7 linked regions of the Canis lupus familiaris genome follow. The protein of the gene in region 4 purifies or fractionates together with the protein of the main gene of each other region. This does not show direct contact. Links are inferred from orthologs where the notes say so. Each region holds a gene or a part of one and is shown on either strand. Other genes may lie near its edges.

Region 1 (4,139 bases), on a different chromosome or scaffold from region 4:
CCTTCGGCCCAGGGCGCGATCCTGGAGTCCCGGGATCGAGTCTCGAGTCGGGCTCCTGCATGGAGCCTGCTTCTCTCTCCTCCTGTGTCTCTGCCTCTCTCTCTCTCTCTCTCTGTGTGTCTATCATGAATAAATAAATAAATCTTTAAAAAAACTATATAAAAAAAGACTTAAACTGAGTTAGGAAAAAGGAAGCTATGCATGTACCCAGGGAAAGCATGTTATAGGCAGAGAGCGCGGTTACCCTAAGATGGGATCACTCTGAGGGTGTTTCAAGAAGCCCAGGAAGATCAGTGTGGTGAGAGCACAGTGAAGGAGCAAGAAAATTAGGAGGAGGTGAAATCGGGAGGTAACTTGTTTTACTGATTTATAGGCCAAAACCTTCTGGATCTGGTCAAGATTAGGCCTTCAAGGAACCCTTCTGTCTTGTTCACTGTGGCCTCCCCACTGCCAAGTACAGAACCTGGCATAGAACAGCCAACAAATGTGTGTGTGAGTGAGCAATATCAAGACCATTTATGGAGTGCTTCCTATGTGCTATTCTTGGGGCTGAGCTTTGCATCTCTACTTTCCTCAGCCCTAGCCCTGGGGAGGAGGAGAAATGGGCCCTTAAGTATCTATCATCTCAGAGAGCCATGGGGAAAGGGAAAAGGATGTTGCAAATGGTGGTATTTTAGACACTTCATAGAATGGACTTACTCTGTGAGGAGATTGCTCTTACGATCAATGAACTTGAGAGCTTCTGCCAGTGTCAACTCCAGGAAAAAACCATATCCGAGCGCCACATAGATTCGTGAAGTGTCTGGGCTGAGGAAACAATGGTTAGAGGAAGTGGGGGAAGTCTTTATTACTGTTTAGCATACTATACAGTTTATTGGCAATTTTTTTTTACTCCACTCCTCCCACCTTCCCCAAATTAGAAGCTCTGAGAGGGCAGGGGTTTTGTCCTATTCGATTCACTGTCACATCCCCGGCACCTAGCACAGTGTCTGGTACATAGCAAATACTCAAAAAAAAATATTTGTTGCATGAAGGAAGGGGGAAGCTGAGCCCTGTGGGCTCAGAGGGGCAGGTAGACACTCACACAACTGTGTCAACGAAGAAGTTACAGCCCAAATCCACCTGCATATATAACTCCGAGGGGTTAGCTTCCTGTGGGGCCAGGGAAAAAGAGGTAGGGGTCAGTGGTCACCTTTCAGGTCAGCTGACAGGTTTTGGTCTGGGGTCTCTCCTCCCATCCCCCTCCCTTGCCCAAACACATCAAAATGGTCCCTAACCTTGGCTGTTTTTACCTGAAGCCGCTCAATGACATTTCTCAGTTGAAGGTATTTGGCCAGCTGCTCATATACCTTGTCGCGATGGTCCAGCACTTTTCTGATGGGACAAGAGGAAAATGGTGACCAACAGGAAGCCCTGGACCTGTCAGAATACCTCATATTATGACTGAGACCCTCATGTCACCATGCCTTAAAGAAGCATTTTAGTGCAGAAGTTGATTTGAATTGTGAGTCAGACTGCTTGGGTTTGAATCTAGGCTCTCCTTTTTACTAGTTGTGTGACTTCAGCAAATTCTTTAGGACTCATTTTCTCTTTAGGAGTCAATTTCCCTATCTTTAAAAAAGGGACGACAAGTATTACCTCACAAAGTCATTAAGAGAACTGTTTACTACAAAGCACTTACAATAGCACCTAACCAAAAACTAAGCTCTATATATGTTTTAGCTCTTATTTATTAGTACTATTACCACATTCCGTCCAATCAGGATGTCCCATTCTCAAAAAAAAAAAAAAAAGTGTCCCATTCTCACCCTAGAAAAATCTTCCATCCCTTTCAGGATGTTCATTATCCTGCTTCTGAACACTCTACTTCCTGCTCAGATTAATAGTGATAGTAACAATTTTTCATACTCATAGAGCCCCTAGTATTCACATTAAATCCTTTACAAGGGGGGAACACATTAAAAACTCAAAACCACCCCATGAGGAAGGTTCCATGAACTTTCCCATTTCACAGATAAGAAAACTGAGGCACACAAAGTCGAGGCAGCGTACAACGTCTTCACACAGATGGCGAAGGGGCCAGGCCAAGGATTCGAACCTAAGAACTCCCGCTTTAGAATCTAGCTCCACGGCTAAGTGAGATGGGAGGCCAGACAGGCGCGGACACACCCTCTACAAGAACCGCCACATCCCAGCCCAGTAGCACCCCGGATGTCGCCCCTCCTCGCCGGATCGGCGCACGGGGCTGGACTCCAAATGCCTTTCCCACCAATCAGAAGGCTAGACCCTGACTTTGGACGCCCCGCCCCCCCACGTGGAACCTTCCACACGCCCGGCCCTCCACGCTGCCACTCACCGCAGGTCCTGCTGTAGCACGTCACAGATGAAGGCCTCATAGCGCAGCACTTTCTCCCCCGTGGCTTCCACCGCCCGCCGTTTAGGGGGCGTCGCCATGATGGGCTCCTAAGGAATGGGGAGCGGAGCACACCACGTTGACCACACAGTTTGGCCTCAGGCACAGTACATCTGCACCCCCTCGACAGCGGGAGTGGGCTCGTTCGGCTCCGGCCGGGGTTCCGCCTTCTGCCCCTCCCAACTCTGGGACTCTGCCACCCAGGGACACCCAAACGCGGCCCTCACCTTAGAGCCGCCGGCAATAAGAACGGTTGCTATAAACCGTGGCTTCCGGGTGGCGCGGGTGAATGACGTACCACAAGGGCGCGGGCCAACCGAATAGCCGGGTGGGAAAGGCGGTTCTGAAGGGCTGGAAAGGGGCGAAGCGGAGGAGAGGAGGGCGGGGCTTTAGGGAATCCACCGAGTGTACTCCCGGCCGCGCAGCGTGGGAACGGGGCAGCGCGGAGCCTGTGGGGACTGAGCGTGGCTCGCGGGGGCGGGCCTTAATGGGATTTGGCGGGTTCCTGGGGGAGGCGGGGCGCACAGGTGGCGAGAGAGAAGCGTGTAGTATTTAAAAGTCAGAGCTTCGGAAGCAGACGGGCAAGAATTGGTTATGGTTCTGGTTTGTAAAAAGGAGAGTACATCCCGGGAACTGTCGCCATGGATTTTGATTTTTCGCACGGGAGATTTGGGTTTGATTCCCAGTAATGGGAATGAATGTGAGCATTAAATTTTTTTTTTTAAACGGAGACAGATTCTCTGAAACTCAGCTTTGGTAACTCCAGTTTGCAACCTGCCATCCATAACTAGGATCCAAGCAGATATTGACAAAACACTATGTCTATTACCTCGTCTAATAGAGGCATCAGGTGGCGGGTCGCTGAAGTCCTCTGCTCAAGATCGGCTATTCTGTAGTTAGAAATGTTCCTGAGTCTTTATTTAAATGTATAAACTTTTATTTATTTGTATGCACTCAAGTTAATGAATTTATTTCCCATGTTACATTTTCAAATAATAGCATCATACCCAGCAAGTCTTGGCTGAGCCTGAAGGAGAACACAGATACCAAATCCCTCAAATGCTATGCCTGCCTATAGGGCCGAGAGCCCCCACTCATGCCAGTGATGTCTTCTCAGATACTTTGTGTGTTTTGTGTGTAAAGGCAAGTTTTTCTTTCAAATGCTCAAAACCTAAGCAAGTCAAGCTTTTCTTTGCCCTAAGAACAAGATGATTGGAAAGGACATGTAATTTTTTAAAATGTTTTTTTGTAAATCTTCAAATATTACATATAGTTAAAGTTACATTTCGTGTGATTGAAATAGACACCAGGTAGTTAGACAACTATTATTGAGTTAATCTATACCATTTTCCTATGGGGAAAAAAAGAGGTGTTATGTTTATTATCTTTATTTATATATTTTAAAGATTTTGTTTATTTATTCATGAGAGACAGAAAGGCAGAGACACAGGAAAAAGCAGGCTCCATGCAGGAAGCCCGATGTGGGACTCAATCCTGAGACTCTGGGATCATGCCCTGGGCTGAAGGCAGGCGCCAAACCGCTGAGCTACCCAGGGATCCCCCCATGTTTATTATCTTTAACACAAAACAACACAGAGTTCTGAAGAACTGAAGATAGGTCTGTGCAAATCTACTAACTTACATTTCATAAAGCATTTTTTACTTTTTAAAGAAAAGGTTCTATTTATTTATCTGAGAGAGAGAGCATACACGCACCATGGGAAGG
Region 2 (3,500 bases), on a different chromosome or scaffold from region 4:
AAATTTAAGATACATAAAACTAGTATACTGAACAAAAGCAATACAAGAAGCCAAATGATGTTCTGAGTACCAACAAAGGTTCTCAGATTCCAGATAGTGGATTCTTAGAACAACTGGGAATAGCTGTACTTTGGCTAGGAGAATGGTTTAGGTTTTTTAAGGATGGATCCCCAGAGACCAATATTTCAGTACCTAACACTTGAAGAGAATCCCTGTCCCACCTCAAACAATAAAAACTCTTTCAAAGGCTCAGATCTCAACCTAATCCCAGGCTCTGTGTATAAGAATCATCACATCCGCAGTCTGTTAGAAAAGTAGTACAAGAACATGAAGATCACCTCATTGGAAGACAACGGCTGGGTGAAGGGGGCAGTAGAGGGAGTAGTAATCTCACTCATCCGAAGCATAGTCCGCACGATCTCACTGCTGGTCTGGGTTTGAAAAGTGAACTACAATTCAGAATTCACTCCACTGTGCTGACTCTGGCTATATGCCAATGGCTACATCTGGCAAATAAGTGAATGCTCCTGATTTGGGACACCGTCCCACCCACTTAGATACCACCTGGTCCATCCTGTTGGCAACTGCACTGACAATGGCTTGGTCACGGAAGTGCTGATGGAATCTGTCAAGGTTGGCCTGCCAATAAATCCCATCATCTGGAATGGGCTGAGGAGGAGAAAAGGATTAGAGAGAAACATTTAGATACCGTGAATATGGGGAAGAGTTTTCTGGCGAGGAGCTTGGATTTAACTGTTCACTATTTTTTTTCCTATTCAGTAGCAACCACGTGGGGTGGAAAAAAAAAAATCATTCAATCATGTGGATCAGGGCCTTGATGACACAAATTTACAATACCCAATTCAGATTCTCTAAACTCACCTCTATTTATTTATTCATTCATTCATTCATTCATTCATTCATTCATGAGAGACACAGAGAGAGAGGCAGAGACGTAGACAGAGGGAGAAGCAGGCTCCATGCAGGGAGCCTGATGCAGGACTCAATCCCAGAACTCCAGAATCATGCCCTGAGCCAAAGGCAGCCGCTCAACCACTGAGCCACCCAGGCATCCCTTAAACTCACCTCTGAATTTACCTAATCTTTCTCTATCTGAACTCTTCTCCAGTATCCTTAAATTTTCTATTTACCCCTCTCTTCCCACTCTCAGCACATGACCTTGCCTCTTATTTCAGAGAGAAAACAGAAGGCCCTTTTTTGGCATAAGATCTGACCTCTGTTTAATGATGAAGCCTCAGAAAGGAGAAAGTAATGGAGTTTACACTTTGTTAGTTCATTCTTGGTCAATATTGAATGAAGTTCATAATCCTACTAATCCTACTACTTTTTTTTTTTTATAAATCTTTTTTTTTAAATGTTTATTTATTTATTTATGATAGTCACACACAGAGAGAGAGAGAGAGAGAAAGAGAGAGAGAGGCAGAGACATAGGCAGAGGGAAAAGCAGGCTCCATGCACCCGGAGCCCGACGTGGGATTGGATCCCGGGTCTCCAGGATCACGCCGTGGGCCAAAGGCAGGTGCTAAACCGCTGTGCTACCCAGGGATCCCTAATCCTACTACTTCTCAATCAAGGACCTTGTAAATCTCTTGGGGCCTGTTACCTTTGTTATCTTTCTGCCTTGCCTTAGGGTGAGGACCCCTAAGCCCCATTACCTCTTTGTTATCTGTGTTGTGTTTTGGTCTCTTGGCCTTGGGCTCCCCAGCAGCATCTTCATCAGATGATCTTCTCCTTTTACCTTTCCCTGATAAATAAAACAGGCAAACAGTTATGCTACATCTCATATGAAGACAGGAAATCACTGAATCTGAGAGCAGGTTTCCCTCTATCCCAAGACATCTCCAGCTGCCTCTAGGTTAAAGTGGCTGGGGAGGCTGAGGAGCTCCAAGAAATTCGAAGTAATGATGAAGTCATTTGAAGCTCAACATATTCAAAAAAGAAAGTTCTAATCTTTCTACCTCAAACTGTTCCTGTTCCAAACGCTTCCTTTCAGTGAGTAGGACCATTCATCCTCCCCCCACATGCAAGTCAGACACACAAATGTCATTTAGTACTTCTGTCTCCTTTACCCTTTCTGTATCTAATTTTTCACTGGGTTTGTCTACATTTTACCTTTGCCCTATCCTATCTACAAGCAGGAAAATCTTTTAAAAATGCAAATTAGATCATGTCACTTCCTTTAAATCCTTTAGTAGTTTTCCTTTGCTCTTAGGATAAAGAACAGATGCTGTCTGTATAACGTCTTGTATGATCTAGCCCCTATCTTTCTATCCTCATCTCATGGCTCTCTTTGCTCACCATGCCTTAATTACACTGACCCATCTTTTACTTCCTCAAATATCCTATTTTTTTCTCATTGTACACTATTCCTTTTGTAAAAATATTTATCCTCTGTACTCCTTCATACATTACCTCACTGGTTAGTTCCTGCTTCTGTTTCAAATCTTAGCTCAACTGCTACTTTCTCAGAGAAGCGTGTGCTCTAAATCCTGAAAAATTTGGTTCCCTGTTACATATTTTCATAACATCTCATACTTTTCATTCATAGTACTAATCAGTTTCTTAGTTATACATCTATCTGATTATTTGAGTAATGTAACTCAAGTCTTTTTTATATTAGTCTTAAGCCCCAAAAGGTCAGGGACTTGTTTTTTCATTTTACACCACAGTATCTGGCATAGAGTAAATATTTGGTAACTGCTTGATCGATTCATTCACTAATTTAACAATCTTTGAAGAAGAATCCACAACCAGGGCAAATCATAGTTTCAGGGGTCAAAATTCCTTACCGATCAAGCTCAGTTTTGGAACCAGGTACATGTCCTTTTCACTGATCACAAGAATGGGGGCAGGTGGCAGTGGCCCTGGGTCTGAATTCTCAGTGGCAGGCACCCAGGGGCAACGCTGTACAAAGTGTGTGTCTGCTAGTCGCACAAATGTGTTTGATACCTCAGCATAGTCCATGGTCTTGCCATCTGTACAACAGGATGAAAGTGGCAGATGAGATTGCCTAAGTTAGCTGAAGTTCCAGTCCTGCAGCCAGCCAATCTACGCTTTTGCTAACAGCTATGAGTACAGTACTAACCCTCCATAGTCTCTGTGAGCCGGTCTGCCACTTTCTTCACAACAGCTGACATTGTCATTTTGCCATTCAATAGCAGCTCCTCAACAATGAGTTCTCCGGTGTCACTGTACAGTGTTTTGGCAGTATAGATGTACCGGGGATACCTAAGCATTCGCAATACGCGGCTGCACTGGGCTTCATACTCCACTACACCACGTTTGTGCACTTGATATATCACCAGGTTATGTTGGATAAGCACACAGAGGGCTTTTTTTACCTAGATAGGACGCAAAAGAAAGAAAGAAAAGATCTGAAGTCATAGCTCATTTTTGTTGCCAATTTTTGTCTAATAATTTACTAAGAGCTGGCTAAGGATCTCTGTGCTTCTTCCCTCCCTCCATTTGGATAAGCTATT
Region 3 (3,500 bases), on a different chromosome or scaffold from region 4:
TTCAGGAGGATGGAAGGAAGGTGAGGGGTGAATAGGTAAAATAGAGAATTCTGAGAGCAGTACCCAATTATTCTACAGGATACAGTAAAGGGAACACAGGACACAGGTCATTAAGTTGTACTTACATTCCCTGGGTTTTAGAATGTACAACAGGAAAAACTAATTCTAAACCCTAAAAATAATAATGTATCAATATCAGCTTAAGAACTGTAACAAATGTTATCACACTAATGCAAGATGTCAACAATAGGAGCAACTGTGTTTGTGTATGCTGGGGTGGAGAAGTGAACAGAGGTATTATTTTCTACTCATTTTTTCTGTAAATCTAAAACTGCTATAAAACAATAAAGCCTATCAATTAAGGAAATAATAGGAAAACGAACATCTTTTCAATACAGGGTTCTAGAACTACTGAATAACCATATGAATAAGAAAATATATCTCAAGGATCTACTTCATATTACACACAAAGATTAAAGACTTATCACAGATCTAAATAACAAAGCTAAAACTAAAAAATTCTAGAAGCTTATAAAAAGTATCTTCACAATCCAGCAGTAGGCAAGTTTCTTACGTAGGATCCCAAAAGCAACAACCAAAAAAATAAGACAAACTGATCATCAATATTAAAAACTTCTGTTTATGAAATGATACCATTAAAAAGAGACAAGTTTACCAACTGGAGTAAAATATTAACAAATGATCTGAAAAGGATCTGTAGGAAGGCTACAAACAGAACTACTATACTTCAATAATACAAAAACCCAATTAAAAATGAGTAAAGCACTTAAATAGGCCCCTTACTGAAACACATGAAAAAGAGCTCTAGAGAAATGCAAATTAAAACCGTGATGGGAAACTCGTATATGCCCATCAGTAAAATTAGAAGAGTGACAAAACCAAATGCTGGCAAGGATGCAAAGCAAGTTATAGTGCTGAATGGGAAATTTGCCTGTTTTTCATAAAGTTAAACACATCTACTCTGTGACCTAGCATTCCACTTTTAGTTTTTACCTAGGAGAAATGAAAATGTACATTCACAGCTTTATTCATAATAGCTCCATAATGGAAACAGCCCAAATGTCTATCGATGAAGACAGGCAATTAAATTATACATTCATGCAACTGAATACGACGAACAACAAAAAGAAACCATTACAACAAACAGCATGCATGAAATGCAAAAAAAAAAAAAAAAAAAAAAAAAACATGTTGAGCAAAAGAGGTCAGATTTTCAAACACTGTATAATGAAAAATTCCATTAACATGAAATTTTAGAATAAACAAAACTACTTTCACAATAAATGTAATCAGAACAGTGGTTGTATTCTGGAATGGAGAGAGGACTGACCAGGAAAGGGCATAAGCATCTTTCTGAAATAGAACAGAATACATGCTCTCACCAGAATTTATTGAACTGTACACTATGATCTGTGCGTTCTGTTGTATGTAAATTAGATCTCATTTTATTGTATGTAAATTATACTTCATATTAAAAAAAACTGAACACACTGTCCAAATGTATTTGAAGACTGGATCTTATTGTAGGGAATAGAGTAAAAGGATTGATTTCTTTTTTCATTTCATATTTTCTGTATAGTGTGGTACTTCCATGTATACATTTACAGTAACTTATACAAAAATTCCTACACTTAACTGTTACCAGCTTTAAGTACAAATCTATTGCCAACTTTAGAAGTATAGAGGCTGGTTGTAGGATCCCAGCTGGTCATGCCCAGGATGCTCTACCAGTTTAACTGATTCTGAAAAGCTTTTTTAAATTATTAATGCCTTACAGATTTGACAGTAAAATTTTACCTGTGTTTTTATTAGCAATAAAGGGTTAGTTAACAGTTCTTAAATGATTATGCAATTCCTACATAATTTTTTGTTAAAGGAAAAAATAGACACGTGTATATATATTCTTATGTATATATATATCAATGTATACATGCAGAACTGGTAGGAGAGGCTAGTGCAGAACATATGAGGATATACTTCAGCTTCTTTTGAAAAACTAAAAGACCTATCCCACAGGGCCTTTATCATATGGCGCGTTATGGGTGCTCTAACCTCATTCTTCATTCACTTTCATTACCTGCCTGGTCCTGCAACCATTTGAATTTTCAACTCCTATTTGATATAAAGGATTCGAACAGGGTAGTAGTATGAAGGAACTATTGTGTATAACTGAGAAATTATGAAATAAAATTTTTTTCTTACTGCCTAAGATCATTCTGATGCTATCCAAAGAAAAGAATAAATTCTATTAGACACATTATCTGCATACACATGTGAGTTTGAGAAGAATGGAATTTAAAAATTTACCAAGATTAAATGGACAGTAATTTTTTTTCTTTTAAAAATAATTTTCAGGAAACCACAACAGCAATCCATTTGCTTCCCAAATCTCTTAAGATTTTCCAAATTACATAATTATACAATTAGAGAAAGCATAAAAAAGTGTGTGTATAAATACATACCATAAGCTTTTTCCCTGGTTCAGGACAGAAAATAACAAAATCTGCTTCGATGTTAAGATGAATGTGTCCTTGATCATCATAAATATCTCCCAGTTCACCCACTACTTTGATGTTATCATATGCAATGGGGACACCTGAAAGGCTATTAGAAAAGAAAGAAATTTATTTTTATCTTCTTTTAAACTAGGCCATAATTATTAAATATTCAGAGTCCAAAAATTATATGCCTCTTAAATATACTCACGCATGCCAAAACACAATAGCATATGATTAATCCATAACAACTTGAGTAATTCAATTTCACCAAAAGGTTCCAATATATTGACTAAATAAAAGACTGTTCAAGACAGGTACCCAGAAACAAAATGTCCAATTATACATGAGCAGTAGGTTGACCTATTAGAATTCTAGTCATGCTAGAATGTGGGGGTGGGGGTGGGGGGGAGACTTGAATGAAAAATGTCTCTGAGTATAACCAAATCAAGACAATTTTGGTATTATCTACCATTACTGAATTTCTGTACTGGATGGCCTATAGTAAGAGAATTACCAGAATCACAGGTCAAGCCCCTGAATATTAAAGCCAATGACTTAGAGAAAAATCCTCAAACTCCATCTGTATGTAACAAATAGTAATGTTAATAAATGAAATATATAGTTATAATTATTAAGAACCCATTTTGCCACTTTAGTCTACATAGGGGACAGGATTAGGGAGCAACTACTATTTGAAAATGTCATTTCCAAGTACTTAACAAATTTTAACTACTAAGGAGGCAGACCTGGTGGCTTCACTACCACACCTACTACTTGATCAAGAAAACGTCCTAGACTCAGCAAGGCAAGGATGAAATCACTCCTCCTCCACTCTTAGAAGATTCCATGGCACAGCATCATCACTGAACTTAATCTCATTTTATGAACTATCTGCAAATATGTTTGCATTCCACACACTACTAGAGTAGTGGCCCTTCAGAGCCCAGCACATTTTTGTTGAACTCTACTAAATTTCTAAAA
Region 4 (4,185 bases):
CAAACATGTTGACTGAGTATAGGAAATGTAGTTTCTATGGCAGAATAGTAGAAAGAGGTCTGATTGGAGTGAATAAAAGGCTACGTGCCATAACTACCAACATGGATTTAGCCAGTATTTTCTAATTGCCTACTACCCATCAGGCATCGGGCTGCAAGTCAGTATAGTGGGTAGACAACATAAGCACTAACAACAGCATAGTAAATCCAAGACCATGAAACACAGGAGTAAAATGAAAGTACAGGCAAGTCCCCAAACCAGGGTGGGAGTCTTGACCTCTAAGTTCTCACCTACCCTAGAGTGTAGAAGAGTAAGGGTGTTCCAAGAATATGTACAGCAAAAACAAAGACCCCAAAGCACAGAGTGCTGGGAGTGAGGTGCTCAGGTCAAAGGTTAACGAGATTTAGGGTGAATTAAGAGACAAGTTGATGTAGGACAGCTAGCAGACAAGGCTGATGAGATTAACAGGACACCTTGAAGAGGTTCACTAGTATTTTAAGGTAAAAAAAAAAAAAAAAAATCACTTTCCCAACTTGGAAATTTTTCTCTTCATCCTTATTGTAACCCTGGGCTATATACTTAGATACGCACCTAAGGACTGAAGATGTTCCCTGATCATCCCAGTTTTCTTCTTTTACAGTATAAACTCTCGACCTACTCAGGTCATTTCTGACAAAATATTTTATTAGTGTCCTGAAATTAAAGCAGTAAACTGGCATCCATCCTATATATGCAACCACAAAGGTAGAACTAGATCCTAACTCTCCTGTGAATCCAAAATTCTCACAATTCTTTCAAATTATTCCCCACGCTTGAACCCAGCAGTCATAGTAAAAGATGCAAATTCTCTCATGAATTACTAAAAAATATCTAGCAAGAAGCTAAATCCTCCTCCCACTTCCACCTTTCTTTTTTAAACCCACCACAGTCTGTGCTCACGCTCTATTGCATCTCTCCTCCTTCCCCAATCATAGCCACAAGTGCACATTCTTTTGAATTCTCTTGATCAAAGTCTTTGTCTAGGTCTCTAATATTCTCCTAGCTTCCTTACGTTCACTGTTGGCTCAATTAAAAGAAAAAAAAACAAACCAAAAAACCCCCTAAAACAGTCAATCTACCAGATGAAGCAACAGAAACCACTCAAATTAGTTTAAATAAAAGAGGGAATTTATTAGATGAGTACAAAGGTTCTTGCAGGGATTCCAGCAGCTGTAATGGGTAATAGCTAGAAGCACGCCTTTGTGAAGGGCAGATGGAGTTGTAATCACAAACTTCTACTTCTGGTTTTGCAAGATCACGAAGAGAATATCCTAGAGGATAGTCCTCCCCGTATAGTGCATAAGGGACTAGAATGTGGATTCATTTCTGCTTGCTTTTTGATCCTTATATTCCTTTATGCTGGCCTCAAACTTGTCAAGCACATGTTGGCAGACATTCATGAGCTCATTCAAGCCTCTCTGAAATGGCTCAACAGCTGGAAGAGCACCTCGAGTCTGAATGCGTAAATTAATTTTGCTCTCTGAAGGATGGGTTGTAGTGTAACCACAAAATTCCACTTCCGGGTTCTTCATGATCATGTAACGAAGAGAATTTCCTAGGGTATGGTCCTCTTCGTGCAATACAAATGTCACACAGTGTCTATCTGTTCCAGCTGCCTGGACCATTTCCAGGGCTGTCTTCCTCTCGCCTTCAGCCATTGAGGTCTTCAATCCAGATATTTTTCTACACACATATTTTTTATAAAAATGAGATCATACTGAATATGGTTTGGTAACTAGCTTTTTTTTCATTTACTATATCACAATCGCAACACATTACTGCACTCCAATTACACTCAACTATTTTGTATTAACCCCTCATTTTCCTGCCTCCACATATTCTATCAATAAACACTTAATTATTGCCTCCAGTTTCTCCCTACCCCATTTGACACCGTCCACATGGCCACGAGGGCACAAACGTAAATGTTAAATATTTAAAGCTAGAATTTTCTCTTGGTAGAGTCACAAGAAAGGAACAGGATTAGAGTAGGGTGGGCTCTGCTGGAGAATGAAAGGGTATTTAAAGGCACACAAAAACACATCTTTTCAAAAATAGAGACTGCAGATTATCACCGTGCAGGCCCCACTATGGTTTCCATCTGCAGGAGATAAACTAGAGAGGAAGTTCTGAGAAGTGTCAATCAAGCAGGAGGGAGACGAGGGCTGAGGGCACCCAGGAGCGCTTCATTAGCTGCCTACACAGAGCTCTAAGTTGGGCCGCAGTCACAGGGGCTTAGGCCTGGCTGGACGCCCCAACACGAGCACTCGGCGAACACTGGCCCGGGCGCGGCCTTCCGTTAGTTTTACTTAGTCCTGCTGTTCTCCCCGGGGTGGGCGGTGTGGGGACTTAACTCCGGCCTCGTAACTTGCGCTCCCTCCGGGCCGTCTAATTGTACGGGGCGCCTCTATCAGACACGTCCGTGCGTCCTCCCCTCCCTTCCCAGCAGGGGCCCTCTCCCGGCTCAGGCGCCCCCCTCCCTCTCCACCTCCCTCTCCTCCCGCGTCCTCCCGGCCGGGCCCCCGCTGCCCCCGCTGCCCCCGCTGCCGCCCCGGCCCCGCAGGCGGACGCCCCTCGGCTCCCCGCTCCCGGCGCAGGGCGCGGCCCGCTCCGCCCACCCGCCTCCTCGGCCGTTACCTCTCCAGCTCCTGGTCCTCTTCCATCGCGGGGACGGCTTCCGGGATCCTCAGGTGGTGCGGGCAGAGCGGAGGCGCTAAGCCATAGCGCGAGGCACGCGGGCGGAGCAGGAAGGAAGGAACGACGGACGGAAGGAGCCGGGGACGGAAGGAGGGAGGAGGAGCCGCAGCGGCGCGGCGCGGCGAGGCCCAGCCGCTGGGCGGGGCGTGTACGTTCCGCCCGCAGGCCCCGCCCACAGGCCCAGCTCCCCGCGCGGGGAGGGCGGCTGCGAGGCCCGGCCGGCTCACCTGGAGCTCCAGGGGCCAGTCCGCCCGCTGCCCTAGCGGGGACAGGGGGGCCGCCCTCCCGTCCCACCTCGAGGGCGAGACCCGCCTGTGGGCGCACCTTCGGCCAGGTGTTGGCGGAGGGGGCGGGGCCTTACCTGCCGCCCCAAGCCACCGTCCTTCTTAGGGCGGAATGGGGCCTCTTTCAGACTTGCTGCTTGACCCGTGGGGCAGGGTGTCACTCCCTGGCGGGACCCCAAGCCTGACGGGGGTGGGGGGGTGGTGTTCGGGGGGATGACAGGTGCAAACTACAGGTGATCAGTACACCTTGATGAATTTCACGACAGACGAGGATGAGTTGAAGGTTGTGTGTGTCATCCGGGATCTTGCAGCCGCACACCTCAAACGGGTCCAAAAAAGCCTTCGTTTCTATCTTTAGGGGGAGGAGCGAGAGTTTGGAAGGAAACTGCTCTTCTCCCCCTTGCTCCCCCGTGCTTTCCCTCAGGGTCTTCTCTGCACCTGGAATACGTACACCCTCTCTTGCTCCGGATTTCCTTTTCCTTTTCCCCTTTCGGTTCAAACCTCACCTGCGGAACCTCCCTCTCACCTTTGTTCCCAGGTGCCCCTGCCCGCGCCTCGGCAACCTTTCGCCACCCGCACCCGCTCCCCGCCCTTTTCCCTCCGTCCCCCCTCCTCCCTTCCTCCACCTCCTACCCCCGTCGCCCTTCTCAGCCCGGTCAGTCCCGGTCCCTCGCACCTTGCCCCAGAGTCCTCTCACCCCAGCACACCTATATTCCTGCTTTCCTCGCCACCTGTGCTCGTACCCACACCCCGGTTCCCCCAGATGGTCACTGCCTCCCCAGCTGTTCCACTCTGCTCGCGGCGGTCGGCGGTGAGCGCGGATGCACTTTCCGAGCGTGTCTCCAGCGGGGGGATCAGGCGGGCGGGGGCAGCCGAGACCGAGTGGGGGAGGGCGGGCGGCCAGGGGCGGAGTGGGCTCACTCTAACCCGGGAGTGACGGCCCCGGCCTGGCCCGCCCCCCGCGCGCTTCCATAGGCGGAGCCGCGCTCTGGCCCGCCCCCTGCCCGCCCTGCGCCGCAGCCGGTTGGCCCAGCTGCTTGTCGGGTTGGGCTGCTGGGCCCTGGCGCTCGCCCCCGGGAAGGCAGCAGGGGCGGTTGAGAAGTGAAGTCTTGGCCAGAGTTTGCTTCTTGCCAGGAAATCCGCGGTGGCGGCGGCGGCGGCGGCG
Region 5 (4,257 bases), about 23 Mb from region 4:
TCTTATCCCAGTTCCCTGTGGGAAATAACTCAGTTCACCAGGGGCATGGAAGAGGCCAACAGCAAGGAAAAGCACACAGGGAGCAGGGAAATTTTACTGCCCTTGCCCTTCTCTTGGGCAGTCTGGACTGAAATCTATGGATTTCTTCTTCCCGGAACCCCAGAAGCTTTGTACCCTTTTTCTTCATCATTTCAGCTGGGCCCTGCTCAAAGATGGAGTGGGACTGGATCACTTCTGGGCGGCCTCGGCCCCGTCCATGCCCGTCTCGCTGCCGGTCTCTATCCCTGTCACGCTTCTCTTTCTTGATGGCTACTTCTTCCTTGGGCCTGGAAAAGAGAATGGAGGAAGGGAAACCACTCACTCACTCTGCCTCAGAGAACTGGTCTTACTCTGACACACACTCTACTCTACCCGAGCAGAGAATCAAGAGCCAGTGACTGTATCTGAAGAAGCAGAACCCAATCCTAAGTCTAGCACCTTTTCTACTTCCTTGATGGGGCAGTTTCCTTTCAGTTCACTTTACTTATCTTCTTGCTTGAGAGTATATAACAGGACTACGACTCAAAAGTGGAATTACAGAGACTGCCCCTAAATGTGGACTTCTCAGTATTGCTTAAAAGCAAGAAGACTGTGATACAAAAGAATGTAAGTGAGAACTGAACACATTTTTGTCTAAACTAGTGTCTCTCAACTCCAGCCGTAAAGGATAATCACTCTCTTTCATCGCAAAAAAGTTAAATCACCATTTCCAGAGATGGACTTCCAGGCATCAGTATGTTTTTTAAAACTTGCACGTTACAATCACCTGGAAGCCAAGGTCAAAAATCACTAGTGAAAAAAAAATACACAAATTTAGATTTCTGAGCCACATACGTAGTTATTTCCCAAAAGACCCAAATTCAGAGCAATAGGGGAAATCTGTGTTATTTTTTTAAAAGATTTTATTTATTTATTCATAAGAGACAGAGAGAGAGAGAGAAGCAGAGGGAGAAGCAGACTCCATGCAGGGAGCCCGATGTGGGACTCAATCCTGGGTCTCCAGGATCACGCCCTGGGTGGAAGGCAGGTGCTAAACCGCTGAGCCACCCGGGCTTCCCTGTTTTATTATTTTAAAAGATTTTATTTATTTATTCATGAGAGACACAGAGACATAGGCAGAGGGAGAAGCAGGCTCCTGAGGACTGGATCCTAGGATCACGCCCTGAGCTGAAGGCAGATGCTCAACCACTGAGCCACCCAGGTGCCCCAAGGGGAAAGTTTTTAGAAGGCTGAGCTACTTACTCTTCCTTAATTTTCCGACTGATGATATTTGGGGTGAAGGTTTTCTGAAAATAAAATATGAGTCACTGATTTGTTAAGTTTCCCAAAGTACAGAGAAAAATGAAAACTCTCAAAAGGGATCTTGTATGGACCAAGACCACCATTCTACATTCCCTACTGTTATAATGGTTTACAGAGATAGGCATGTGCTTAAAAGGAATGAAGATCCTGTCATGATAGCAGTGGACTTACACACTGAACAGGGCACCAAAACCCCATTTTAGTTAGTGGCCTCAGCTTCTGCCCTCTGAAAGGAGAACCCTGAGCACTTCTACAATTTATTTATCTAATCTCACTTCTTGTCAAATCATTGAATATCACAGGAAAGAGCTCTAGCAGCAAGCCTCAAGTACAAAGTCCGCCTGCACCCACAAACAGACACAGCTAGACTGCCACCAGCATTTCCCAAGGCAAACAAGTCTTTGAAAACTAGCTGCTTTATGCTTCTGCTACATCACCACCACCAGCTGCCTCCCCTCCCCAATTTCGGGACGATCTTAACATCTACAGTGATAAACACGACGCAAAAGAACACTGAGCCTCCAAGGCCCTGCCTAGAATTCATTACACTAGATCACAGTTTGCCCACCATAATCCATGGCGGATACAGAACTCTCTAAAATTGAGGGCAAACTTTATGCCTGCTGGCTCTCAGGGGTTTCTTAAAGGTATCCCAAACACATTTTTAAAAAGTAAATAAACATTGCCCAAGTTGCCTGGGAAGTAATTAGGATTCTCTGCCCTTCAGCCGTTTCTGAGAACCACGTCAAGGTCCTGCGCCCGGTGTCTAGACTCCCTAGAATCTGTCAGCAGAAGTCTGGGGACGGGGTTTCCCTGGGCCCAACACAGAGCCTGGCACGCGGCGGGCCCTACGCGAGCGTCAGGTGAACCCCAGGGTCCTGGGACTCGAGGTAGCAGGGTTTCTTCAGCAAGGCGCCGTCGGGTACCTTCTTGACTCCCCCGAGGGTGAGGTCCCTGGAGCGGATGGAGGGAAGGCGACCCGGAGTGAGGGGAGGCGCCGGCCGCCGCCCAACAAGCCCCCGGCCCCCAGAGAGGAGGGGGCGGGGGCCTCCCGGGGCGCTCGGCTCGCCCGCAGCGTTTCCTTGCGACATTTTGCCTGGGAGAAAAGGAGGAAAGGGGCAAAACAGAGTCACTCGAGGGGGCGGACACACGGACCCGGGGCGGAACCCCACCCACGTGGCCTCCCCTAGTCCCGGCGTCCCTCCCTCTCCACGTGGCAAGGCTCCCCGGACCACCCAGGTGGAGCGCCTGGCTCGCCCTCCGCCCAGGCTCCCGGCCAGGCACGAGGCAGAGGCGCACCCCAGCGTACCCGGGCGGCGGCTCCGCACCACGCGCGTCCCGACTTCACCTCCGACGCGGCCCGCACACCGCCCCGGGTCTCTGCGCCGGGCGGAAGTCTGCGTGGCAGGGCCCGGGCGCCGCCATCTTGCCGCGGGCCGGAAGTGAGGTCAGGGGGCGGGGCCGGGCCACAGTATTTATCCGGCGGCGCCTCGCTCCCCTCCGCCTTCTCTTCCCGGTTCTTCCCGGAGTCGGGAAAAGCTGGGTTGAGAGGGCGAAAAAGGAAGAGGGGTCTGGTCTGGGTTACGCTGTGGTGCCGCGCTTTGGGGGCTTGGCCCGGGCGGAGGGGGCAGCGGCGCTCAGCTCGGAGCCCGGGGTGGGGCCTCGGCGGCCGCCACGACCCAACCTGGGGATTCGCCGTGGCGGAGCTTCTGGGAGCAGTGGGGTCGCGGCTCGGGACGGGGCGCGGGGCGCGGGGCCGGGAGCGAGACCCGGGCGCGGGGCTGGGGCGCCCCGGGCCCGGCCGAGCCGCGGCTGTGGGCTCGATGGTGACCTTGGAGTGGTCACTGTCCTCTGGGCTGCGGCCTCGCCCTCGCTCGGGGGTCCTTTGCCCGGACTCCTGGTAGGGTCCCGAGGTGGGGCTGCGGGCGCTGCGCCAGGGCAGCTGCGCGGGCTACCTGGGTGCCTAAGTGCACCCAGCGTGCTAACTGCAGCACGCACCCGGCTCTGGACTGCCGACCCTTGTGTGCACTCTCGTTCCAAGCCCCGAATTGAAAAATGAAGTTTGCTCCGACTGGGAGGGACGAATTTAAAGAACTTTTATGGTGACTCCGACATTAACATTTAAAAAAAAAAAGCCTTTTTACTGTTCTCTCCACCCCCAAACCATGCAAAATAAATAAATAAATTAATTAATTAATTAATTAATCCCACGTAACATTGCAGAGAGTTTGAGGGAAGGAAAAACAATTCTGCTACAATTCCACGTAGAATACTACCATTGAAACTTTTGTAATATATTGCAATCCCCTTGTAGAGCTGTCCTATTGTACCACAATTTTGAAGCCCTTTTGAAATAACATTTCTTTGTTGCCGCATCAAATGAGTAATAATTCTTGGTGGCTGTGTCATGATTTGCCTATTTTCCTGTTTGGACACTTAGATTCACCACCCCCACCCCCACCCCCACCCCCGCTGTTGTAAATAACGCTACAGTGAACATCTGGTGCATTTAACCTTTTTTTCTTCTTTTGGAATCTATCCCTAGGACAACTTTTCAGACTCGTGATAACTGGCCAAAAGAAGTTGTACTTTCTTTTTGAAGTAAAGTTTTTGAGGTAGTAGATACACATGCAGAGTTTTTTTTTTGCTTTTGTTTTTGTTTTTTGTTTTGATTGATTGATGTTTAGAGCAAGACAAAGAGAATCCCAAGCAGACTCTGCACTGAGCATTGACCCTACCCAGAGCTTGATCTCATGACTCTGAGATCATGACCTGAGCAGAAATCAAGAGTTAGATGCTTAACAAACTGAGCCACCCAGGTGCCCCAGATACACATGCAGTTTTAAGAAATAATACAGAGATCTCAAGTTTTCTCCAATAGAAACATATCCTAAAACTATAGTACAATATCACAAC
Region 6 (3,500 bases), on a different chromosome or scaffold from region 4:
GTCGAGCTCTGTGTCCACTCCCATCCCAGAAACACTCTTTGGGGACAGGGACATGGCTTATGTTGCTCATCACTGCCACACAGAGAAGGGAGCTGCTAGGTAGGTACTGAACAAATGGATAAACGTGGTGCGTGCCCTGGGCTCATCTGTAATGGTGCCCATCTCTGCCCCACACAATTCCCAAGGGCAGGGACAGTGTAGGAATGACAGTGGAGCACAGGACACAGAACAAGCAATCACGACATAGTTCGTGAACAATGTGTAAATTTTGCATCACCTCCACACAGAAACAGAAGGGACACGGCAAGAAAGGGGCGCCACCCACAGGCCACAGCATGGCAGTGAGGGCTTGCAGCAGGAGCCGAAGAACCGGGGAGCCAGAAAACACACAGCCCCAGAGGCCCCATGTCCAGGTTACAGGGATGGACCCCAGGCTGAAAGGGCAGAAGCACCAGGGCCACAGGCACTGCTGGGCCAAGAGCTCAAACCCCAGCTCCGGGACCACCTTGCTGCCAGATGTTTGGCAAGTGTCTGCCTCTCTGGGTCAGTGTCCTTGAGTGAGGGGACGGCCCCTCCTGGCTCTCACCCATTCGTAACGTAAATATACCTGGGTGGTCCCACTTAATGAGGGATGTGCCATCCAACATCCAAAGACCTTCCATAATCAAACACGTGTGTGGCACAACAGCTCCAACTACTGACAGACACTGGACAAGTTTACCAGTGCAAGGGCGCCACCAGGTGGCAGTAACGTGAACAGACTCTACAATTCACTTGGCCAACCAGCTGAAATGACAGGAGCTTCTGCAAGGAGTTAAAAAATTTGGAACAAATTTTTAAAGAGATTGTTCACCTTACACCACACCTTCTAAAAAGTGAGCCCTTACTAGTGTACCTAATGTCACACTATTTAAAATAAATATAATTCAGGGCACCCCCAGTGACTCAGCGGTTTAGCGCCGCCTTCGGCCTGGGGTGTGATCCTGGAGACCCGGGATTAAGTCTCACGTTGGGTTCCCTGCATAGAGCCTGCTTCTCCCTCTACCTGTGTCTCTGCCTCTCTCTCTCTCTGTCTGTCATGAATACACAAATATTTTTTAAAAAATAAAAATAAAAACATAATTCAGACATACATGAAATGCACCTACACTTACTACCAAGGGTCTGAGATATGCTAAGCATTATACTGAGTGTCAGGGACACAAGGTAGGGGTCAAAATAGAAGTCCCTACTACCCCCATCCCTCTTGAAAATAATGGTCTGGTGGAAGGGTCACAGAAGAGAAACTACTGAAAGGCATCAAGCCACATGCTCCAAACCCCACGGGACACATGAAACAAAACTCACACTCAGATGCATCTTAATGAACTGTGGAAAGCCACAATAAGAGAAAATCTCAGAAAGAGCCAGAGGGGACCAAGGGACTCATCACTAGAAACAATGGGAATGAGAACACAATGAAACTATGTCAGTGTGTGGAAGGGAAACCATCAACCTCGAATCCTACACTCAAGAAAAATATCTTTTAACAATAAAGGTGAAGGGCAGCCACAGTGGCTCAGCGGTTTAGCACCAGGGCGTGATCCTGGAGACCTGGGATCGAGTCCCATATTGGGCTCCCTGCATGGAGCCTGCTTCTCCCTCTGCCTGTGTCTCTGCCTCTCTCTCGGTCTCTCATGAATAAATAAATAAAATCTTAAAACAAACAATCAATAAAGGTGGAATAGATATTTGCAACCAAACAATACCCAAGTAACTCCTCCCCCCTGCAGATCTTCTTTAAGGGAACACCCCGGCAATTTTTGGCAGGAGGTAATTATCCCAGATAGAAACTCAGATGCAGAAAGGGATGATAAGCAAAATCAAAAAGAAAATATGTGAAATCTGAAGAACACTGACTGGATAAAATAACATCTTGTGGATTTTAAACTACAATTAAAAATATAGAAATAAAAAAATAGAAATACAATGGCACATGAGTTGAGAGGAAGATAAACAGAAAGCATTCTAAGGTCTCTGAATTGTACTGGATAAGAATAAAATACAGCCATTAATATAACTATGATCAGTTATGAATGCACTCTGAATCTGTAGGCTACTCACTAAAAGAACCCAGAAAGGGTAACTTCTAAATTAGCAGGGAGAAATGGAGTAACAAAAAAGGATCAAGTAGCAGGTAAGAATGGATATAAAATGCAGGACAACCAGTGCTATGGTAGACTTAAACCCAAAACATCAGTAATCACGAACTGAAATGCATCAGATGGTCCCATGCAGAGGAACTCACCTCTTCACCACCCAGTTTCCCTGGACCAGCATCGCCACCTTCTGGATGCCACGCAGAACAGCCACAGAGTCGATGGAGGGGCCTAGGAGGCTCATCAAGTTGGCAAAAGGCATGACCTTCACTGAGGAGGACACAGATGTCAGACAAGCGAAGGGGCCCTTCCTTCTCCCTCACCAAGTCTATACAGCTTCAGGCTCATGTAACCACTCCAGCGTGTGAATAACACTGACACATGGGTAATAATAAGAGCTGACTTCACTGGCTGCTTGTGTGGGCACCCCACCTTACTGAATTCTGGAGGAAACACCCCAAGGGGTGCTCCTTAAAGGTAAGACTACTACGGGGTGCCTGGCTCAGCTGGTAAAGTCGTGACTCTTGATCTCAGGGTCATGAGTTCAAGTCCCATGTTTGGTGTGGAGTGTACTCAGAAAAAAAAAAAGGTAAGACCATGACTCCTGGGGCCCAAAAAGGGCCCGGGGAAGGCCTGTTGGCAGCGAGGGCAGTGGCCTGGCACCCCAGCAGCCCCAGGCAGAGCTGGGAGCTCGCCTCTGCTCAGGCACCTGGAGATCCTAGAAGTGGTATCTCAGGAAAGGAGCCCAGGGCCTGGGATTAAGCTCTGAGGTTCAGGACTCACCCTACCCTACAGGTTCTGGCCCCCAAGTCCTCTGAAAGACACCAGTCCCTACTGGGTGCAGCCTGGTGCAGGTACCACAAAACAGTGCAAGGGAACGAATGGAGCTCATGTTCACGTGCAAGGCTCTGTAGAAGCCATGAAGAAGCCTCATCTCCGCCCTCAGGAGCTATCCTAGTTCCCTAGTCTCGGGAACATCAGTGGCCTGCCCAGGCTCACAGCAGGGCAGTGGCCCAGCCAGAACGAGAACAGGAATCAGAGCCTGCTGAGGGAGCCCAACAGGCCACTGTGGTGCATTCCTTCTAGGCAAGGCCAGAGCCGTCAAGCCAGGCCCATGCTGAGTCCTTAGTCTGTCCTAGAGTCCATTTCCCCAGGAGGTGGTAGGGCTGGGTTCCCCCTGGAGGAAGTGGGTGTCCACCCACCATTCTTCATCAAGATCTTGATCTGATCAGCCAGGGGCAAGGTGCGCAGCTGGGCCATGGACAGGACGTTGCTGGGGGCCACGGGTTTGTCTCTGGTGAAAACAGAGACAGTGGGTTAGAGGAGAGGGTAAGAGGAAAGATTTGGGGTGGGGAGGGTGGC
Region 7 (3,225 bases), on a different chromosome or scaffold from region 4:
TTAAGTGCTAATACCCAGGCCACCGGGAGCTTGGCAAACCCTGACACCCAGCAGAGCCTCCTCAGGGCCACCCTCAACCCACTGTGCGGGTCTCAGTGCTGGCTATGGAGGCTGGGCACCATCCCTGCCCCTCCACAGGAACTTGGCTGGAGCCTAGAAGCTTCTGGCAGCAAGATCTCAGGATGGGCAGCCGAGACTGCAGCAGTTATTCCACTCAGGGCTCAAATATCTGGTTGTTGAGATCCTGGGAAGGGATGTGAGGATCTCCGTGCTTGTCCTAAAGGTCAACCAGAACCTGGTGGTGGGCAGGCCAATGTCTCCTGACCCTCAACCTGAGTGCTCTTGGCTGTCTGTGTACTGTCACTGGGCTGTGAGATGCCCTCCACCACCCCCGCCACCTCTGGGCCCTGAACGGTGAGAGCCACGTCTATCCCCAAACAGCTTCAAGCATGAGGCAGGACACAGAAACACCAGGGAGTCCCACAAAGCCAGGCCAACTGTTAGGACCTCTTCATGGTTCTGCAAAGACCTTTAATGGACAGTTCTTTCCAGAGCAGGGACACACATCCACAGGTGGTGGACAGGCATGCTCCATGCCACCCCGACCACACTGGAGTGCCTGGGGGCACGGCGCAGACGGCCCCTGGTGAGCACAGCGGGTGACCGGGTGACGGGCGTGAGCAGGTCACTTGTCACTTCTCCAGAGGCGCGTAGTTGAGCAGCTTCTCAATCAGGTCCACGTGTGCCAGCAGCATGCGGCGGCAGCAGTAGCGCTTCAGGCCCAGCGCATCCAGGGCATCTCTGTGGGTGAGGGGCAGATCACACCCGGTTGGGGCAGGCAGTCCTGGGCACACGGAGGACCCGAACCCTGCTGGAGCAAGCCCCCCCTCCCCGCCCCCGCGGAGGGAGCCGTCTCTCTGCCGTTTCCCAAGCCGATTAGAGTTGTCAGTGTCCCTGGGGCCCAGCCCCTGTTGCCCCAAGGGCTTCCAGAAAATCCCCAGAGCACTGCTCCGACGTGCAGCGCCGCCGAGCTGGGAAGCCGCAGGGCTGGGCGGTTCCTGCCCGGGGCTTCCAGGGCCTCCGGCCGGTTCCCTCACACTCGGTCTTTCCGACAGACTCCCCAGCAACCTGGCCTCCCCGCTCACCCCAAACGCCGCAGGCCGGGGTTAAAGGTGCAGACGCCCGCGAGGCCGGTGCTGACGCCCGCGCTGACGGGCAGCGACGGGAGAGCGGCCCCGGGACGGCCCGCTCCGCAGGGCTCCGTGGCCAGGAAGCCCGGCCCACGACCCCAGAGCCGCGGGCTCGCGGGCGCGGGGGCCTCCGAGGGCGGGAGGGCAGGGAGCCCCGAACTGCTCCGGGCAGGAGCCACGACCTGCCGGGGTCCGTGTGCAAGTCCCCGCGGTCCCGCAGTCCCGCTGCCCGCCTGCCCCCTTGCTCGCGGCCGGCACCTGGTCCCTCCGGGGCCCCCCGCGCCCCGCGCCCCGCCCCCCGCGCCCCGGCCCGACCCGCCGGCCCCGCGCCCAGCAGGGCCCCCCCCGCCCCCCGCGGCCCCGGCTCCGCACGCCGCCCGGCCCGGAGCCTCACCCCTCGGTGTACTCGGCCTGCAGCAGCCCCAGGTAGGCTTCCCACTTGTTGCCGACGATCTTGCCGCAGGTGAAGCAGCGGACCGGGATGATCATGGCGCTGGCGGCGGCGGCGGCGGCGGCGCGGGGACTGGCAGACGGGGCGGCGCTTCCGCCCGGGAGCAGGCCCCGCCGAGGGCGCGTCCATGGCGCGGGGGGGAGAAGTCCCAGTCCCGCCACGCCCCCGGCCGCCCCCGGCCCGCCCCCCGGCCCCACTGCCGCCGCCGTCCGTTCCCTGCCGGGCCGAGCTCCTTCCGCGCGGACCGGGGGCTCCGGGGCCCACGCGGCCGCTACCGGAGCAAGCGTCGCCCCCCCCCCGGCCCTTCGCCTTGGTACGTCCCGGCCTACGGCGGCCTAGCGGGACCGAAAGGGCCCGACGGCGGCGCTTCGCCTTCCTCGTGTCCGCATGACTGACAGCTGCGCGGCGGGCGGACCGCGCGCAGGTACAGAGCCGGTCCGCGGGGATGCGGCCGAGGTCCCGCCCCTCGGAACCCCCGACCGGGACCCGGACCCGAGCCGGGGCCGAGCCGAGCGGGCGCAGAGTTGGAGCCCCGAGCCGAGCCGCAGCAACAAGTGGCGGGGCCGGGCCGGGGCCGGGGGCGCGGGGACCCGCGGCGGGGGGCGGGGGCAGGGGGGCCCCGGAGGGACCTTCCCGCGGCCCCTCCCGGCCCGGCGCGGCGAAGGCTGTCCCCGCCCCGGCCCGGCCCGCTCGGCCGCACTGTAGCCCCGACGGCCGGCTCGGCCGCAGCTCCTGCCCCCCCAGCGCCCCAGCCTGCCCTCTGCGGCCCTGGGGGAAGGGCCTGGGGGTGCGGGCGGTCGGGGCTCTGAGGACTCAGAGCAGGGCGGAGGCTGGAGCGGGTGGTCCTGGAGGGCGGCGTGGAAGAGGCGCCCTGCAGAGCCCGCGTGTGTCGGGGAGCGCATTGATCCTGGCCGGGGGACCCCTTGGATAGGGCCCTGGAGGCCATACCTGCGGGCAGCTCTAGGCCGCGGGTTCGTGCCAGGGCTGGAGTAGGTGGTGGAGTCAGAGATGGTGGGGCAGCAGCCACAGAGGGTGGAAGGGACGATGAGGCTGTGTCCCTGGGGGCGGGGTGAGGTGAGCTCCTCGATCCGGGGGCCACGGGGGGGGGGTGTGTGCAGATCTGTGTGGGGGGAGGCAGGGAGGGCTCCCTGGAGGAGGCAGACTTTGGGGCTGTGGGGATGGATGTGTTCCAGAGCAGCGCCTGCGGGGGGGGGGGGGGGGGCGGGTGTCAGCTAGTCAGGTGGGCTGGGCATGAGTGGGGCCTGTACTCCCCACCCTCCCACGGTGGGTGGTGGATTCTGGCCTCAGCTTCAGGGAGGGAGCCTGAGGGTCCCCTGGGGCCTGGGAGGCGCTGGCCACCTCTGCCTGGGCCCTGGACAGCCTGCCCAGTGCATTTGTCATCCTCCACGCTGCCACGTGCAGAGCCACGAGAGAGGCCACTTCCCTTCCCAGCTGCCCCCCCACCCCACCCACTGGACGCACATCCTGTGCCTGGACAAGAGGGACAGGAGAGGGGGCCTGGAGTCACGGTGGCCTGGGGTCAGACCCAGGCTCCCCTGCAGAGACTATTGGCAACTGTGCAGG

What was found.
Region 1: the proteins of POLR1D (region 4) and UXT purify together in Homo sapiens (affinity purification with mass spectrometry; 3 studies listed by BioGRID and IntAct, with this or other methods). This does not show direct contact. The link is inferred for Canis lupus familiaris from reciprocal best matches to the Homo sapiens genes POLR1D and UXT.
Region 2: the proteins of POLR1D (region 4) and POLR3C purify together in Homo sapiens (affinity purification with mass spectrometry; 3 studies listed by BioGRID and IntAct, with this or other methods). This does not show direct contact. The link is inferred for Canis lupus familiaris from reciprocal best matches to the Homo sapiens genes POLR1D and POLR3C.
Region 3: the proteins of POLR1D (region 4) and POLR1F purify together in Homo sapiens (affinity purification with mass spectrometry; 3 studies listed by BioGRID and IntAct, counting the BioPlex papers as one, with this or other methods). This does not show direct contact. The link is inferred for Canis lupus familiaris from reciprocal best matches to the Homo sapiens genes POLR1D and POLR1F.
Region 5: the proteins of POLR1D (region 4) and POLR3D purify together in Homo sapiens (affinity purification with mass spectrometry; 6 studies listed by BioGRID and IntAct, counting the BioPlex papers as one, with this or other methods). This does not show direct contact. The link is inferred for Canis lupus familiaris from reciprocal best matches to the Homo sapiens genes POLR1D and POLR3D.
Region 6: the proteins of POLR1D (region 4) and POLR3E purify together in Homo sapiens (affinity purification with mass spectrometry; 3 studies listed by BioGRID and IntAct, with this or other methods). This does not show direct contact. The link is inferred for Canis lupus familiaris from reciprocal best matches to the Homo sapiens genes POLR1D and POLR3E.
Region 7: the proteins of POLR1D (region 4) and POLR2L purify together in Homo sapiens (affinity purification with mass spectrometry; 4 studies listed by BioGRID and IntAct, with this or other methods). This does not show direct contact. The link is inferred for Canis lupus familiaris from reciprocal best matches to the Homo sapiens genes POLR1D and POLR2L.

What each region holds. Positions count from the first base shown.
Region 1 is NC_049260.1:41,479,973-41,484,111, forward strand, and holds the start of UXT (protein UXT), read right to left. Parts: upstream 2,801-4,139; 5' UTR 2,641-2,800; intron 2,464-2,640; 5' UTR 2,455-2,463; coding exon 2,357-2,454; intron 1,375-2,356; coding exon 1,278-1,374; intron 1,153-1,277; coding exon 1,085-1,152; intron 808-1,084; coding exon 700-807; intron 1-699. UniProt on the Homo sapiens protein: Involved in gene transcription regulation. Acts in concert with the corepressor URI1 to regulate androgen receptor AR-mediated transcription. Together with URI1, associates with chromatin to the NKX3-1 promoter region.
Region 2 is NC_049238.1:59,294,372-59,297,871, reverse strand, and holds part of POLR3C (DNA-directed RNA polymerase III subunit RPC3), read right to left. Parts: intron 3,363-3,500; coding exon 3,107-3,362; intron 2,997-3,106; coding exon 2,811-2,996; intron 1,766-2,810; coding exon 1,677-1,765; intron 670-1,676; coding exon 565-669; intron 432-564; coding exon 339-431; intron 1-338. UniProt on the Homo sapiens protein: DNA-dependent RNA polymerase catalyzes the transcription of DNA into RNA using the four ribonucleoside triphosphates as substrates.
Region 3 is NC_049235.1:33,898,179-33,901,678, forward strand, and holds part of POLR1F (DNA-directed RNA polymerase I subunit RPA43), read right to left. Parts: intron 2,626-3,500; coding exon 2,484-2,625; intron 1-2,483. UniProt on the Homo sapiens protein: Component of RNA polymerase I (Pol I), a DNA-dependent RNA polymerase which synthesizes ribosomal RNA precursors using the four ribonucleoside triphosphates as substrates.
Region 4 is NC_049246.1:12,056,376-12,060,560, forward strand, and holds the start of POLR1D (protein POLR1D), read right to left. Parts: upstream 2,801-4,185; 5' UTR 2,703-2,800; coding exon 2,677-2,702; intron 1,723-2,676; coding exon of another isoform or gene 1,347-1,722; exon of another isoform or gene 1,146-1,346; intron 1-1,145. Other genes in the region: DNA-directed RNA polymerases I and III subunit RPAC2, read right to left, coding at 1,347-1,722, 2,677-2,702.
Region 5 is NC_049246.1:35,180,821-35,185,077, forward strand, and holds the start of POLR3D (DNA-directed RNA polymerase III subunit RPC4), read right to left. Parts: upstream 2,801-4,257; 5' UTR 2,651-2,800; intron 2,438-2,650; 5' UTR 2,433-2,437; coding exon 2,268-2,432; intron 1,326-2,267; coding exon 1,282-1,325; intron 327-1,281; coding exon 175-326; intron 16-174; coding exon 1-15. UniProt on the Homo sapiens protein: DNA-dependent RNA polymerase catalyzes the transcription of DNA into RNA using the four ribonucleoside triphosphates as substrates.
Region 6 is NC_049227.1:23,570,138-23,573,637, forward strand, and holds part of POLR3E (DNA-directed RNA polymerase III subunit RPC5), read right to left. Parts: intron 3,433-3,500; coding exon 3,341-3,432; intron 2,409-3,340; coding exon 2,288-2,408; intron 1-2,287. UniProt on the Homo sapiens protein: DNA-dependent RNA polymerase catalyzes the transcription of DNA into RNA using the four ribonucleoside triphosphates as substrates.
Region 7 is NC_049239.1:45,633,313-45,636,537, forward strand, and holds POLR2L (DNA-directed RNA polymerases I, II, and III subunit RPABC5), read right to left. Parts: upstream 1,750-3,225; 5' UTR 1,680-1,749; coding exon 1,585-1,679; intron 802-1,584; coding exon 693-801; 3' UTR 501-692; downstream 1-500. UniProt on the Homo sapiens protein: DNA-dependent RNA polymerase catalyzes the transcription of DNA into RNA using the four ribonucleoside triphosphates as substrates.